Linked DNA regions of Arabidopsis thaliana. The protein of the gene in region 1 interacts with the protein of each later gene in a pairwise test. Each region holds a gene or a part of one and is shown on either strand. Other genes may lie near its edges.

What was found. Proteins that work in one complex are often made in the same cells at the same time.
Region 2: the proteins of AT5G16880 (region 1) and AT5G37890 interact in a two-hybrid assay, tested with the Arabidopsis thaliana proteins (one large-scale study listed by BioGRID).

The regions. Positions count from the first base shown.
Region 1 is NC_003076.8:5,543,299-5,552,009, reverse strand, and holds AT5G16880 (Target of Myb protein 1), read right to left. Parts: upstream 3,094-8,711; 5' UTR 2,899-3,093; exon of another isoform or gene 2,373-2,898; 5' UTR 2,353-2,372; coding exon 1,834-2,352; intron 1,548-1,833; coding exon 1,284-1,547; intron 1,177-1,283; coding exon 736-1,176; 3' UTR 501-735; downstream 1-500. Other genes in the region: AT5G16890 (Exostosin family protein), read right to left, coding at 1-346; AT5G16870 (Peptidyl-tRNA hydrolase II (PTH2) family protein), read left to right, coding at 3,468-3,641, 3,713-3,771, 3,885-3,944, 4,023-4,092, 4,351-4,420, 4,588-4,614, 4,986-5,035; AT5G16860 (Tetratricopeptide repeat (TPR)-like superfamily protein), read right to left, coding at 5,624-8,176; TERT (telomerase reverse transcriptase), read left to right, coding at 8,566-8,711. UniProt on the Arabidopsis thaliana protein: Might contribute to the loading of the ESCRT machinery.
Region 2 is NC_003076.8:15,086,970-15,095,322, forward strand, and holds AT5G37890 (Protein with RING/U-box and TRAF-like domain), read right to left. Parts: upstream 4,987-8,353; 5' UTR 4,854-4,986; coding exon 4,662-4,853; intron 4,212-4,661; coding exon 3,543-4,211; 3' UTR 2,709-3,542; downstream 1-2,708. Other genes in the region: AT5G37900 (TRAF-like superfamily protein), read right to left, coding at 6,934-7,515, 7,690-7,833. UniProt on the Arabidopsis thaliana protein: E3 ubiquitin-protein ligase that mediates ubiquitination and subsequent proteasomal degradation of target proteins.

The DNA.
Region 1 (8,711 bases):
ATTCAACAGGATATCCCGGATCTTCGTTCAACCAACGATTCTCTCTCTCGAACACCATCTCATCGAGCTTCCTCACATCATCATCACTCTCGCCACGCACCGTGTCGTCTCTAACCGGTAACGAGAGCTTCGGAGCTTTATATATTAAGAAATGCTCAAGCGAGGTAACGAAGGACGTCTCTGGTCGGTCCGACGGGTTGGGATTGGAGATGGAGGCTCGGGAGGAGGAAGAAGAGGTGTAGAGGATGACGAGTAGAGAGACGGTGAAGAGAGAGCCGATGAGGATTAGGGTTTTGGATCTGGGTCTGGAGGAAGTAGAACGATGATTTTGCTGTTTTCCAGACATTGTGAGATCTGCTTCTTCGAAATCTGAGTTCGATTACAAATTTCTGTTACTCAGTTGTTGCATATTACTATGAATGTGGAAAGTGACGATGCGCTTCACTTAACCGCGATTGCGTCTGCGACTGTAAACGCTAAATTGAAACAAAGTTTGTGTTCAAATGTGCACGATAGCAATTGGATAGATGTCAAAATGTGTTTGATAGCAGAAACTAGAATAGAATGTATTTCAAATCTCATGTGCCATCATAACAAATCTCCTTTATAAACCATCACACAAGTCAAAGAGATCTCCAAACACAGATTACTTACATTGAACCTGTTCATTCATACTACCAATTAAACACCAAATACATTATAAAAGATTTATTATGTCGCCTGAAAGTATCCGTCTCAGAATCGAATGAGATCGTCGTTTTTGGATGAGGACTGCTCCTTTTTTGGGTCATGATCTGGATTAGTCGAAGAATCACAGCCGTTTTTCTTACCGAATATCATCTCATCAAGATCATCCATCATGTCATCTCCACTACCACCCCCTCCATGGAATCCACCTCGAACACCAGAAGATTTTCTAACCAGAGATTCTTCTCTTCCATGAATTGGAGAGTCATCGGGCTCTTCAGCAACGGGAATCATGGCTGGTTCATGTGAGGTTAGCGGTGCAGAGGGTTTGTTCATCTCCTCATACTTAGACAGCGTTTTCACTAGCTCGTCGTTCACATTCAAGGCTTCGAAAAGAAGGGCTTCGTTTTCACCTGCTGTTTCAATGATTCTTTGGACAGTGGTTTGAGATTGACGACATTGTTGTACAAGTGTCGTTGTTAAGTCATCCTGCAAATCAGAGAGATAATGAAAATATATCGCCGATATCCCATGTTATATCCATTATTACATTAGAATTACAGGAAATGATGCCTAATAATTCCGAGTCAATTTACCTGTAAAGCATCATGTTGAGGCGAGGAGGACAGAACCGTGGAAAGAAGTTCAATGCTGTTTCTTGCTATATCAAAAGCTTCCTTTGTCTGCTCAGCAGTAAAGCTTCTTACAGGCACATCATACTGGATATGTGCAGGTTCATGCACATGCTGAGGAAGATCAGCATTCAGTTCTGGTGCTGGAGTTGACCGAGCAGGAGTGAAAATAGGTGCCAAGCTTTCGTTGTCTCGTCCAGGGAAGCGAATACCTCTTGCTTTTAAGCTCTATAGTATAGGAAAAAATATAAAAACATTAAAGACCTAATCATAATGAATTCTGACATCAGACCTCACAGCTTTTCATTTTTCAATCAATTCCTGCAACAAGCTAGTCGATTGAGCCAATTCATTGAAACAATAGTCATTTGTCTGTTTTGTTCAAAACCCATATGCTTTGGCCAAAACAGTTCAACTCAACATAAGATAGTGGTATCTTCAATAAAGTATTGTAAATGAAACTGTATTGTTGAATTTAATAGCGTAAAATTATTTGGTACCAGGTCATAGTTACCTTATAAGTTTCTTCGAAAACTGGTAGGTAGCGAAGTTCACTGGTTGATTCTCCCCAAGCTTCAATCAGCATCAAAGCTTTGTTTCGGTTATTAACAACTGTTTGTGGATCATCAATCAGCTTTACCATTTCATCAAGGACTCTCTCTGCTGCCACCTCTGAAAACGCCTTCTCACAGTTCTTAACACACGTCTCGAGCAAAACCAAGGCAAGGTACTGAATCCTCGGCTGCTTCATCATAATCCTCTTCTTTATACCACGGATCAACTCAACGCTATTAATTGTCTCTTGATTTATCATATCACAAATTTCCAAATTCATATCCCAGTCAGGTTCCTCTAGATTCTCAGTAGTAGCATCTTCGACTATTTTATCAGTTGGGTTTGGACCTTGAAAAAGTTCCTTCACTTTAAAGCTCATTGAGCTCACACCAGCACTGATCTTGTTGCTCACTTCCGAACCTCCGATCTTCAGGCGCTCACCAAATGCGGTAACTTTGTCCATAAGATTGTCACCCATCTTTGCTGATACTCAAAAACCTGTAAATGAAAAACAGCAAGAACCTGGAATTGTACATACAGAACAAACCAGAAAGCAGCTGAAACATCAACTTGTTCAAGTATCCTTCAATGATACTAAACAATAACGAGCACGAAAGGAAATACTAACAATCAATAATATACACCTACGAATTCTGCAGAGATTCATACAAAATCAAATACACAAAAAGGTTCAAACCCGGTTAAACCAGGTTTTCAGATACGATCTCTTCGATCATACAAATATTCTTCTCGATCCAACAAAATTTGCTCAAGGAAACTGGTTTAACCAGAAATTAAACAGTTTTTTACGGATGAATGTAATTAGGGTTTGCTGAGAAAAACCGAATTCGATATTCGAAGATCAAAATTCGAAAGAAAATAGAAAAATTCGTTTTGGTCAACAAAAACCCTAATAAGGAAAATAACATTTCATATGATCGAAAAACCCAGAACTAGATCGATCAACACGGAAACAGTAACCAAAAAACAGCGAAATCACAAGTAAATTAACGCGAATTTCTACCTTTGAGATTGAACAAAGAGATGAGAAGCTCGAAGAACAAAGCTCGATCTGGTAATAGAAGACGGAGACTAGAGAGGAAAATCTGCGACAAGGTCAATGCCCGTTGACGCCGTACAAATCCTGAAGAAGAAGAAAACTGCGTTCCTTTTTTAAGTGTTTGGTCGTGGGAATTACTTTATCCTGACTATGTTTCCCTTCCTTTACGCTAAACATTATTTTCAAAAAGATATGCTTTTTTATTTTTATTTTTTTCATATCAACCAATCACGTTACGCAATTTCATCCAACGAACCAAAAAATAATCGATCATTAAATGTTTTTTTTTTTTTTTCTTGCCAGTAAAATCTTCACGCCGGTTTCAGGAAAAAAAACTTCATCATCGGAGCCGTTTCTCTCTCTCGAACTCGTAAGCTTTCTTCGATTCTCTTCTTTAGACCATTGATGAGAATCTTAATTGTTCCCTTTCTACTGTAGAAACTTGAGCTAGATTACGTTGAGGTAATTCAATTTTAGATACTCAAATTCAATCATTTTGTTGTCTGTAGGATTTAAGTATTTGAATCTTGCCAATGGATTTGACGTGGTTAAGTGCCCTAATTGTTGGAGCTGCACTTGGATACTGCATTGGCACTCGCCGTTCCAAACCTGTTGTTGCTGCTGTTGATAAGGATATCAAAACTCAATCCTCCAAAAGTCCACTCGAGATTGAGAAACTCGCTGATATTCTCGATGATTTCAAGATGGTAGTTAGCTACATTTTTCTCTCTACTGTTATGGAATCACAAAATTGTTGAATTGAGTTTTGTATACTCAGGTTTTGGTGGTGAGAAATGATCTTAAAATGGGTAAAGGAAAGATTGCAGCTCAATGCAGGTGATAAACTAATCATGCTCTCTTTTACTATTTTAAGTGTTTAATTCATGTTTATCATTCTTACATTTGAGTGTTCTTATTCTGATTCGTTTTATTGGTCTGCATTTCTGCAGTCATGCAACTTTAGGATTATACAAGAAGCTTGTTCGTCGAGCGCCAAAAGCATTGGACTGGTATGCCTCTAAGTCATGATCAATTCCATTTGTTACTTAATATATGGATTGAATTAACAGTATAGGTTGCTATTGCAGCTGGGAGGAATGTGCACAGCCAAAAGTTGTTGTGAAAATCGAGGACGAGGACGAGATGCTAGAATTGCAAGTGAGTTTACTAAAACAAATTGTAGTAGACTGTAAAGTGGATTTTTTTTATTGAACTATATTTTGGATTCACAGCTTTAGTGCTGTTGCCAAATTGATCTTCACGGGCTTTGCAGGAGTTGCCAGATGTTAGTTTCTTGATAATTTCTGAGTTCTGACCATATACATGAATACTTAAGGGGAATTTGAGATATCATAGAGCTTATCTTGATTTTTCCCATTTCTTATATCTTGTATTGACTGTTCACAAAATTGTCAGGAAAGAGCTAAATCCCTTAAACTGCCTACCCATATCACCATTGATGCTGGAAGAACACAGATTGCCCCAAGTGAGTTTCATAAGTTCCTCCCCTCTTGAACTTGAAATCCCTTGGTGCTTTAAACTTTATGATTGCTAGTTAATTGCCAGGGAGAAAGCTCTCTTGATTCAATCTTCTTTCGTAAGTATCATTTTCTGCGAAAATGTGAATCTAATAATACGTCATGTTCTTTCCAGATTCAAGGACGGTTATGGCTATTCTTGGTAAGTTGTTATTTTTAAGATATGTGTTTGAAAGTTAAGACTCTGATGGACAAGTGATGAGTTTGAGAGTTGCAAATCACACTTACCCTAGAGAAATGTACTAGTTTATTAGTTCATGACTTCTCTTGATTGCTTGGTGCTTGTCCTTGACCCTGAATGGAATCTATAGTTCATAAGAATCCAAAATATGAAATGTAAGCTCAAAAGTTGACTCGGTCAGAAGAGGGTGTATACTTTCTGCGTGGTATCCAAATTCATATGCACCGTTCTATGACCAGGAGTTAGAGATTCTTGTAGCAGAATTTGTTTATCGGATATTATCAGCATTTCTTAACACAACATTCCAACGCTTATAGATTTTACTTCTGCAGGACCAGTCGAAGTTGTTGATGAAGTAACAGGTGGACTAAAGCTTCTTTAGCAGATTCGAATTTCGATATGACATTTCTTCAACCTGATCTCTCAGATGGACCAAGCAGAAAGGAGAGACATGAACTCCACCTTCTCTGTTCGCCCGAGGTTACCTGTGAGAAATCTGTAGTTGTTACGTATACTCGTTCCTGATGATGACGAAATATTCATTTTAAAACATTTTCCCCATTTTTCATGGGCATGTAGCATTTCCCTCTACCAATGGTGATATCATCTTTTTTTGCTGGATTTGTATTAGAAGTATCAAAAGCTCGAGCCTTTTTTGGCACATTGAGAAAATGGCTTGTTCTAATGCCAGTTCATGGGAGTGTTGGCTATATGAACATTTCAAATGTAACAACAGATCTTGTTTATTGAAGATAAACCCATGGTATGGAGTGTGATTATCTACCAAAAATAAAGAAGAAAGCTATTCATCTACAAAATTTGCTTAAATTATATAATCTACATGAGGTGTTTAACACAGTGCTTATTATCCCTTTCTTTGTCCCTTTAGATCGTTCCTGAAATCTGCTGTAGCCATGTCAAAACCCTCAGGTTGCTTCCGTGTTTGGTAGAGTGCATAGAGAGAGCATCATCACCAGTAACCTTTGCATGAACACGATCCATTTTTGAAATGATGGAAGCGACTTGAGTCCCTCAATATAATATCATGATCAATGATTCTGGACATGTATGTGAATGCTGTATGGCAATCACCACATACCCGTAAATTCTTAGTAATCCTGATAGCAGCACCTTGCGGAGTTGTTAGAATACCATATGCAAGAGCTAACTTCTCACTATGCTCGAAAAGAAGATCATCTTTCTCTTCATCGTCTACATCATGAAGAGCAAAGCCTGTTTCAGGAACATAACCAATGTCCTTGATGCGTTGCATGTGATCTAAGAGGACCTGGTATATTTCCTTAGCGTGTGGATGAGTTTTATCACCCACGAAGAACGTAGTAGTTCCTTTAATTCCTTCAACCCAACTACAACCAGGTCTTTTCTTAACTCCTTTATGTCTCATCAATGATCTGATCCTAGTCACATCTTTCCAACGCCCTGCATTTGCATACAAATTTGAGAGTAATGTATATGATCCATCATGATTAGATGCTAATTCTGTTATTTTTTCCGCAGCGTACTCCCCGAGTTCAACTTTTCCGTGGATTCTGCAGCAACTGAGAAAAGCAACCCATACCACAGGAGGAGGCTCCATTGGCATTTCTTCAATGAGACGCAAAGCTGCATTCAACCGGCCAGCACGACCTAACAAGTCAACCAAACATGCATAATGCTCCGGACCAGGACTAACCCCAAAAACAGTTTTCATTCTATTGAAATACTCCATGCCCTGATCAATCATTCCTGAATGACTACAAGCATATAATACAACAAGTAATGTAACACCATCAAGCTTAAAACCTATTCTCCTCATTTCATCAAAGATTCCAAGAGCTTCTTCTCCATAACCATGCATACCATAACCCGTCATTAGAGATGTCCAAGTAACTTCATTTTTCGCCATCATATTGTCAAATACAAGGCGGGCATCACTGATGCTTCCACATTTTGCATACATGTCTATTAGACAGTTTGATACGAACAGCGGTACTGCATTCTGCTGGTTGCGCAACGCATAAGCATGAATCTGCTTGCCAATTCTTAGTGCAGCCAAACTGGCACATGCCACGAGGGCACATGATATGGTAAAAGCATTTGGTCTTGTTTGGCAATCTTCCTCAAACATCTCAGATAAAAGTTCGAGAGCTTTATTTGCATCCCCGTGCTGGGAGTATCCACCTATCATCACAGTCCAAGTCACAACATCCCTTTCCTTGGGGGAAAGTGAATCAAACATAGCACGTGCAGTATCAACCTTTTTGCACTTAGCGTACATGTCAATCAGTTGATTGATTACCATATTCTCATCACCATGACCGTTCTTACGCAAGTCTATGGGATATTTGATGGCATAACAATGAATCTCTTTACCATGCATCAATGCTCCAACAGAAGCACAACCCGAAAGAACCGAAATAAGCGTGACTTCATTTGGTTTTATCCCAGAAGACAACATCTGCCTACACACACCCAAAGCTTCATATCCAAGTCCCCGTTGAGCATACCCTGAAATAGCAGCACTCCAAGTAACAACATCCATTTTTATTTTCTCTTCCTGCATCTTCTCAAATAACCTAACAGCATCTTCAAACCTTCCAATCTGTGAATACCCAGCAACCATAGCATTCCAAGATACTACGTCCTTCACTGACATGTTCGAAAACACCGTGTTTGCCTCATCCATCATCCCACACTTTGCATACATATCCACCAAGCAATTCCCTACAAACATATTCTGTATCATCTCACTTGTGACTGCAAAACAATGCAATTGCTTCCCTAGTGAATGAGTTCCTAGGGAAGCACAAGGAGGAAGAACATTCACAAGGGTAATATTATCAGGTCTACATCCGAATTCATTGGTCATCCTGCTAAACATTTCAAGCGCCACCTTAGGTTTGCCTAACTTTGCATAACTTTCTATTATAGAGTTCCACGATACAACATCCCAAACAGACATTTCGTCGAACACCTTCCGTGCATCACTCAATGAACGACAACGGGAATACATAGCAACAAGCGCATTCCCAACAAAGACATTGGAGATAAATCCAGTTACCAGAGAAAGCGCGTGAGCAGATTCTCCACAACGAACGGAGGATATCTCGCCGCAAGCCTTGAAGACGAAGGGGAATGTGTAATTATCCGGCGTCCATGACAGAGAATGCATAAGGCCGAACAAATAGAGACATTTATTGGCGCAGCCATTGTCGCCGTAGCTGCGAATGAGTGAATTCCAATGGTAGACACCAGCGTCAGATGGAGGAAAACGACGGAGGAGAGATACGGCATGAGATAAGCAACCGACGGAGATATAGGTGGAAATGAGGTGGGAAGTGAGATTCAAGGTTAGGATTCCGAAAGAGAGGAGTTTCTGGTGAATAAGCTTGACCTGAGAGATGGTTTTGCATTTGTGAATAAACGGCGGTGTTATCTCCGGCGCCGATGTCGAGAAGAGAGAGACTTTAATGTACTGGTGAGATTTTGCGGCGGCGTTGGGGATGAGAAGGCGGCGGATCATACTACTGTAACTAGAGTGGCGGGTGATTTCTGCGTTTAAACTAAACAAATCAATTCGGTTATATCCCGGTTTTAGATTGGAAATTTGAAGAAAGTAATGAAACCGGATGTGAAAAGAAGAAGAAAGTATAATAGACCGATTAAAATTTAAAGCGAATTTCGGTTCGGTTTATGTGCTAAGCGACCTGCGTTTGCGGTTGAGTGGACGCTTTGGATAGCGTTTGTAGCTCAGCTTTGAATTGTTTTGAAATTTTCAAAATCGCAGTTTATAGTTTCGAGAACCCAGAAGACCTTTAATCTCCCGCCTCTTTCACACCATCAGACTCCATTATCGAAGCTCGTTCACTCTTCTCTCTCTCCAAATTCGAGAGAAAGGAGGAGGAAGGTGTAATGCCGCGTAAACCTAGACATCGTGTACCGGAGATTCTATGGAGGTTATTCGGAAACAGAGCCAGGAATTTAAACGACGCAATAGTAGATCTGATTCCTAACCGGAATATCCAGCCGGAGCAATGCCGATGCCGGGGTCAAGGTTG
Region 2 (8,353 bases), 9.5 Mb from region 1:
TTCAAAGTTGTGAGATTAAAAAAGTCTTGATTAATTAAAAGATTAACATATATGAATATTGATATATTGATACTAATTGATATTAATCAAAAGAACTCAAATACTTTATATGATCAATATTCAAATTATTTACTATTTCTTCCATCATTGAAAAATATGGTAAGAAATTATTGCATTTAATTACTAATTATTTACTATATATACACTTGTGGAATTTAATAAAGAAGTTTAAAGTTATTTTGATGTGCATAATCATATATTGAAGAAAGGACACAATAATACGGTTGATAAATAAAATAAATGTAAATTTTAAAATACAATTAAACAATTAGAGTATAATGTAACAACTTACAACAATAATCTAACACACGTATACAATTACCAAATAAAAGTCAATAAATTATATGAGATATATCATGGTTTTTACTGATTTCTAACATAGTATTAGAATGGTTTTTATAGTCTTTCTAATCTTTTTTGTATCTTTTTTAGTCATTACAGGTGCATATCTACTTTTAAGAGCTATGAAGCATAATAAGGAATTTTGGAAGCTTTTCAGGAAAAGAAGACAAGCAGAAACATTATTCATACGTTGGTGTCGATCGACACCACGTCAGTATCGATCGACACCACGTCAGTACCGATCGACACCCTTATCGACAAGGATATTTCTCACGTATCATAAAGTCTTTAAGAAGTCTAGAAATTTTTCTTATTTGTAAAATAGACCCTGCACGTTTTTACTAACCTATATTATATATATACTAGATATTAACCCGCGGTACCACGGGTGGATATGTTCATTAAAAAATTATAGATAATTTTTTTAAAAATTATTAATTGTATATAAATAATATATTCTTAACACATAATTTTTATTTATGTAAAGCTTCGATAATTCATTTTTATGTTCTCATATTTGTTAGTTAATTATGAAAATTCAATATTTATTTTTATGGTTTGGGTTTTTTAGAGGTAATAAAGATTTAAAACTTGTATTATTATTATTATTATTTTTTAACTTGTATTATTTAGAGATTGACCCGCGGTACATCCAGGGTTGAAATATTTCTTAGAAAATTAGATATTTTATTTTTATTAATATTGTTTATATATATAACATATTCAAGAGGTACATCAAACGTCTATATTTTTATTAAATTAAAAATATTATTATTGTTTTTAGGATGATCTATAGATACATGCTATTGTCTTTTATGTATGATAGTATGATACACCTCTGTATGATTTTTATAACTATTTTTTTTTAGTGTTTAAAATTGTATAATTGTATCATTCCGTATTAATATCGATCCAAACCTATCCCACCATATAACCTCGTCCCGTGAAATTAAACATCATTTTATCATTTTTTTATGAAGTTCGAATAATTATAATATTAGAAACTTCAAAAAAGTTTTAATATGGACCAAACTTCATAATTGTATATTGATTGTTACATATAGGATTTCACCCGTAATATATCGTTCAATATTAATATATTTTTAGTATTTATAATATTTTAACTTCTTATAAAGTTCAAATATTTACAAAATTTACAACTTCATAAAATTTTAAAATTTTTAAATCATTAATATTAAATTTATTTTATAGTTATTAACTTTTAAATTTTCTTAAGAAATTGTAATACTTAACTTTTAATAAATTTTAAATATATATAATATTTTAAAACTTTAAAACTTTTACTTATTTAAAATAAAGAACCGGAGTAAACCGAACAATACTTTTAATTTTGGATGTTTGATATATCAAGGTTCCTTCTCATTCGTATTCAGAATCACTTAAATATTTTTTATAGTATGACTCTTAACGATGTCCCAAATTTTTAAGCAATGTGGGACCTTTAAAACTTTTTTTTTTATCGATGGAGTATTATATGTCTGTTTTAAAAAATTTGAATTTTATCGGATGCAAAAAAATCTAATATTTTATTAAATATATGTATTTTATATATAAACTAAAATAGCTATATATAAAAACAAAGATAATGACAGAAAAATTATATATTTATATTTAATGTTGATATATAGATTTTAGGAAATTAGCCTTAATCGAATATAGTTCAATAAAAAAAAATTTAGTTAAGGATAAAAAATTAGGAAGAGTTGATTCAACTAATTAATGCAATTCAACTAATTGTAAGTTTTTAGTTATAAAGTATTTGATTGAGATTAAATTTGTAAGGACTAATATTGAAAATAGTAAATAGGTGAGGGATTTTTGGTCAAAAACCTTAGCAAAAATATATACATGTAAATATTTTAAGATTATTGTTTAGACCTAAGCAAGTTTTGTGTGAGAGATATACTTTTGGAGAGAAGAATCATATCACTAGCAGAAAAAGAAAAATATTTAACTTAATCTGCGTTGTAGACTTGTCGTATTTTCCTTGTTTAATTTTAAAGTAATAACAAATACTATCATGTATTGTATTGTACACTATTATTTTACAGTTGTCCAACGTGAAGTCACGATATGTTCTTGTTCCTAGATGGGATTCGAAGTCTTGCTTCTTCAAACTTCCAATCGTTAGAAACAAGATCCGGAAAATCCGAAGTCTTGATAATTGAACAGCTCTCCGAAATCAATAATGAACGACTTTCTTTAACAAAAAAACAAAAAGAAAAAAAAAATAATGAACGACTTTTTTATAACAAAGAATATAAAAAAGCTTTCAACTAAAACAAAAGAAAGCTTAGTTGTATTCACAAGTTTTTATATTAAATGGCTGGCTAATATATATATGCAAGGGGAGAAGGAGAAGAAGAATATCACAAAAATCGATCCAAATCTCCATATTAGCAGCCATGAGTTCAATGGGTGTATTTTGTAAGGAGGAAATTGGTGGAAAACCGAATTTGGTATACACATTAACACAAACAGACAACCCAACCTCTTCTGGTGAGGCCCTAACCATGGATTCTGGTGAGGACGATCTCCCTCTTCAACCTCTTTTTTTCTGTCCTATGGGATATAATTATATGTCCATGTATACTTTCTTAATTATATCATCCTCCATATATATATATATTTAACTAACCTTTTTTATAATTCATGATATATACTTGATCTTGCTAAATTATACACACTTTTCAAGAACTACAACTCCAAAACTGAACATATTTTGTAGAACTTCGCTAGAATCCTCAAATCCTCAAAACAAAACTAGTTTTTGTAACTTTTAGAATCTAGTAAAAGGGCAAGTTTCCAACTTCGTTGTTCCTAATACAGAGTTTATAACAAGAAACACCAAAACCTGGAAGAATTTTAGTTATCAAGAAATAAGAATCAGAAAGATGGAAAAATCTTCTTGGAAGACAGGAATCGTCAATGCTTCATAGCAAATGGCCTATGCATAAATTATATCTTAGTTTAGATTGAAAACATTGTGAAACGTTTTGTTGGTCGATTGCACCAAGTCTCTAAAATTACAACCCTCATCAACCATAACGACTATGGGCGGGTTAAGATAACTAAAACGAGACAGATAAGAGTTTTCTAACAGGAAGACCCCAACCTTCTTACTCTTTGTTCAACTTCTTGACGCTAATCCTCATTTCCAACACATCACCACGCAATAAACTGTTGGGAATCAACATGAAATTCTCTTGCGGGGTTTGAAAACTCAACTTAAGAACCCTCTTCACCTCTGGTGATTGGTAAATCACAGTGTGTCCATCGACAGTGTAAGAGAGAGCATATGAGTACTGACTTAATTCTGGAGAAGATGGCGCAATGCAGCTTACAGTTACATACACACCATACGGCTCCCTGAAACACTGCACTGCAAACAAATGATTCGTCAAGTGTTCCGTTCTAATCAATATCTTTTTGCTGATGTTCATCCGGACACTTAAGGGAATGTCACAAATGAACGTATTAATCTGGTTTATTTCCATATGGGTAATACGATAGTGAGTGTACAGATCCTTGTATGAGCTAGTGTAATTGCAATCCAATGCAGGGCAGGCGCAATGAGAGAACATGCATTCCTTTTCATGAGTTAACTCTTTCCCATAAGATACATTCTTTTTGCAACCTAACTTGGCGTTCGGACACGGGATCAAGATCGATTCAAGAACACTCTCCATTGCTCTGCAGCGATTGTGGCCAACAGGCGAAGTACACGCAGGGCATTTGTTATTTAGTTTGGGACAGCAAGAAGAACAAGCCAAATGTCCATTATCACACTGAAATTCAAAACCAATAACTTGTGATCAAAAGCTATAACAACGTCGAGATAATATTCATCGAATCGACCAAGGATAATAGTTCTCTCCCCAAATGATTCTCCCATATAATTCATGATATAGACAAGTTATACACATATTTTCAATAACTATATACAACTGCATACATGAACATAACTTACTAAAGTTCACTAGAATTCTATAAAATCATCACAAGCTAAAGCTTAAGGACACTCTTGAAATCTAGTAACTAGTAAATGGGCACAATTCCAACTTCTTCTCTCTGCAATTTCTTTAACATAACTTTCAAAAGTTCACTAGAATCCTCAAAAGCTAAGGCTACTCTTAGAATCAAGTAAATGGCCACAGTTCCAACTATGTTCAGAGTTCTAACCAAAACAGAAACTTTCTGAAAAATACGAAATGATTCAATTTGAGAAATTACGAAACCTGGAAGATGGGAATTGTGAAAGCTTCGTAGCAAATGGGACAATCGAGAATCTCCAGATCCATTAGCATTGTCGAGCGTTTCTTAGCGTCTCTCTTAGCTGCATCACTAGAAGAAAGTTGTCTCTTTTGCGAGAGAATGCTGTTAGATCCAATTCCTTCGCCGGGAGATTCCAAAATCGCGGCACCAACCATGTCGGAGAGATGACTAAACCCTAAATTCGCTTTTAGTCTTCTCGAAAACTGAGAGAGGCAAATAGAGAATTTAGTTGATTTTGTTCATTGATGGATGGTTTTACAGAGAAAGGAGACAATGGCACAAACTATAGATGATATGGGCTTCGATAGTTCTTCAATTCCCAATTAAGGCCCATATAATATATAAACAATACCTTTTTTTGATAAACTTATAAACAATATCTAATTTTTAAGTCTATTAATATTTACAATATAAAAGAATATAATTATATATATAAAACCATTTAAAAATTAATATTAGTCTTAAAGTTTATGTATTTTTTAATTCTTCAATTCCCAATTAAGGCCCATATAATATATAACAGAAACAATGTCTAAATTTTACAAAATACAATAATAATTATTTATTTAGTCTTAATAGTTTATGTATTTTTTGCTACATTAATTAATAAGCTAATTTTTATTTTTAAAAGTTATGTAGCTTTTATTTATTTTTTTGTCAAAAATGTGGTTTTGAAGTTGGGATTTGGGGCAATCACAAACCACTAGACTAATTTTACCTTGGAAGATTGATAAAAATAGCAAAAAAAAACAATTTCTTCAAAAATAGCAGCTCATTTGAATAGTTCCAAAATTACACTCAAAACTTTAATTAATTATTAAATATTTAATATAAATAACTAATTTAATTAAATAAATAAAATTAAATATTTCTCGCCAAAGATTTTTGTCAAAATTTTCTCACAAAAAAAAATCCGTCAAATGTTTCCCATAAAAAAAATTTAGGAAAGATTATTATACGAAATTTGGGAAGGATTTCACGGAATTCATAAAAGATTTCACAAAAAAATCTTTCCTAAAACTCTTCCTGAATTTTGTAGAATCTTTCTTAAATTCAGGAAATGATTCTTTGAAAGATTCCACGACATAGATGTCACTCCATTCAGTATCAGAGTCCTGACCTCTTTTCTTCAGGTAATTTCTAAATTTAATATATCATAGTGTTGACCTCTATTCCTCAAGTAATTTTCAAATTAAATGTTTAAAAATTCTTTTGATTTTTGGTGGTAGACTGCTAAGATTAAAGAGTCCGATATCTACATGATGAAGATAATGGAGTGCTATACAATGTAAGCTAGTAATTCAAACCTTGAGGAAAATATTATTGGAAACGCAAGGAAAAAATCGGCGGTTGATTCACAGAATTAACAGATATATAGGTTAGTATATGCTTAAACCAATATAATTTCAATAACCATATCGTTTGCAGAATTAACAATTTATGAGTTATATAGTTCATTTTTTTTGAATAGGGTCAATTACTATGCAGAAGTAGCAGATTGCTAATAAAAAAAAAGTTTGTGTTAGCATATTCATAGAGCATTCACCCAAATGATGAATTTGTGTACTTTTTGAATTTTTTTAATTGTTAATTTTAATAATTAAAAATAAAATAATTATTTGAATGCTATTTTGTCCAAAAAATGTTTGAGTGCTATTTTTTTCCAAAAACTTGAAATGGTGCTATTTATGGAAATTTCTATTTTAACTTTTGCTATTATTTTTTCTGCTAAAGATTTAAGAATTTTGGTATTAGCTTTTATATTCTTAACTAATATGTAAAATTGCAGTTAAAACTACCATATTGGAATTCTTTAATCATTGAATCACAATTCACAACTAAATTTTTTCTTCTGCTTTTAGACATCACACGTTCGTACGTTTACTTATAATTAGATTTCGACTAAGAGTAGAATAAAAGATGGAGACCATAATCATGACAAACGAAAGAGCACGCATTACTCCAATTTGGTCATGCATAAAGTATAGCTTAGAAGTTATTAGATTAAAAAACTGTGAAATGTTTTGTTGGTCGATTCCATCAAAATTTCCATTATCACTCTAAATGCACAAAAACGTGTTAAGCAATACCAAACAAATTGCATCAAAGCTGAATCAAGCCGTTAAGCAATTACATCGGATCTTAGTTCGTCAAAACTTATATAAATGTCAGACGAGATAGAGAGAGTAAAAAAATGACATTCCTTCCTTCTAGTTCTATATCACCTCAACATTCTTACTCTTGGTTCGACGTTTCGACGATAGAAAGCTTAATATCCAACAATTCACTACGCAATAAATTGTGAGGTATCAACATGAAATTCTCTTGAGGTGTTTCAAAACTCACTTTACGAACCCTCTTCATTTGTGGTGATCTGTAAACCATAGTGTGTTCATCCACAGTGTAGGAGATTTGATATGAGAACTGTCCAACTTCTGGAGCAGATGGTGCAATGCAGCTTACGGTTACATACACACCACACGACTCCCTAAAACACTGCACTGCAAACAATATTTTCTTCTCATATACCCTTGTAATTTGTATCTTATCGCTGATAAGCATCGGGGCCTTATATGGAATGCTAGATCTAAAGCAGTTAGTGGTCCAGTATGAGTTCGAGATGTGAGTCAGTTTATAGTGATCATAGAGATCCTCGTATCGGCCGGAGTACTCACAGTCCAATGAAGGGCATGAGCATAGAGAGAAAATGCATTCTTCTTCATGAGTTGATTTTTTCCCATATAAGAAACTCTCGGTGCAACCAAACATGTCGTTTGGGCATGTGACCAATATCGATTCAAGAATATTCTCCATTGGCTGATAAAGAAAGCACAAGCAGGGCATTTGTTCCTCAGTTTGGGACAGCAAGAAGAGCATGCTAAATGTCCATTCTCACACTGACATACAAAAAAAAAAACACTGTAAAAATTTCAAGAAAAAAAATATGTATTAAAAGCTGGAAAAAAACAATTTTTAGACAAGAAACAAAACCTGGAAGATAGGACACGTCAATCCTTCACAGCAAATAGGACAATCGAGGATATCAAGATCTAGCAATGTCGCCGAGCGTTGTCTCTTAGCCACTCTCTCCCCTCCATGACCTTGAGATATCAAAGCTTCTAAGGCTCCCACCATGTCACCTAGATATCAATAGTAAAAATATTATCATATTTTCATTAATCAAACAATTTTAAAACATCCTCGACTGATGAAGGCAGAAGAGTTTGTTCGAAACTTTTATAAGACTTCCGTACCAAAAAAAGTAAAAAAAAAAAAGAGTGTTTAAACGCCAACTTTTTAAATCTCAAAACACAAGTCTGATATCTCTTAAACAACGATGGATAGATCTATTTGTAGAAGACAACTTTTAATACATCTCTTAGGAGTGGTAAACACAAATCCAAACTAACTAAGGAAAAGGAAACTAACCAGAAAAAGGAAATCTTGTTAAATACCTTAGAGCTTGAAAACCAAAAACGCAAGGGAAAGCTAGAAGAACACGTGTATGTTCGGTTTTATTTTAATTAGGGTTTTGTGTAAGGGTTGAAGAAGTATTTGACACAAGTTCATATCGTAATTAACGCAACTGATATATGTGTAGTCAATCAATCAGACATTCACATGTGTTAAATATATTTTAGGTTTTTTACTTATG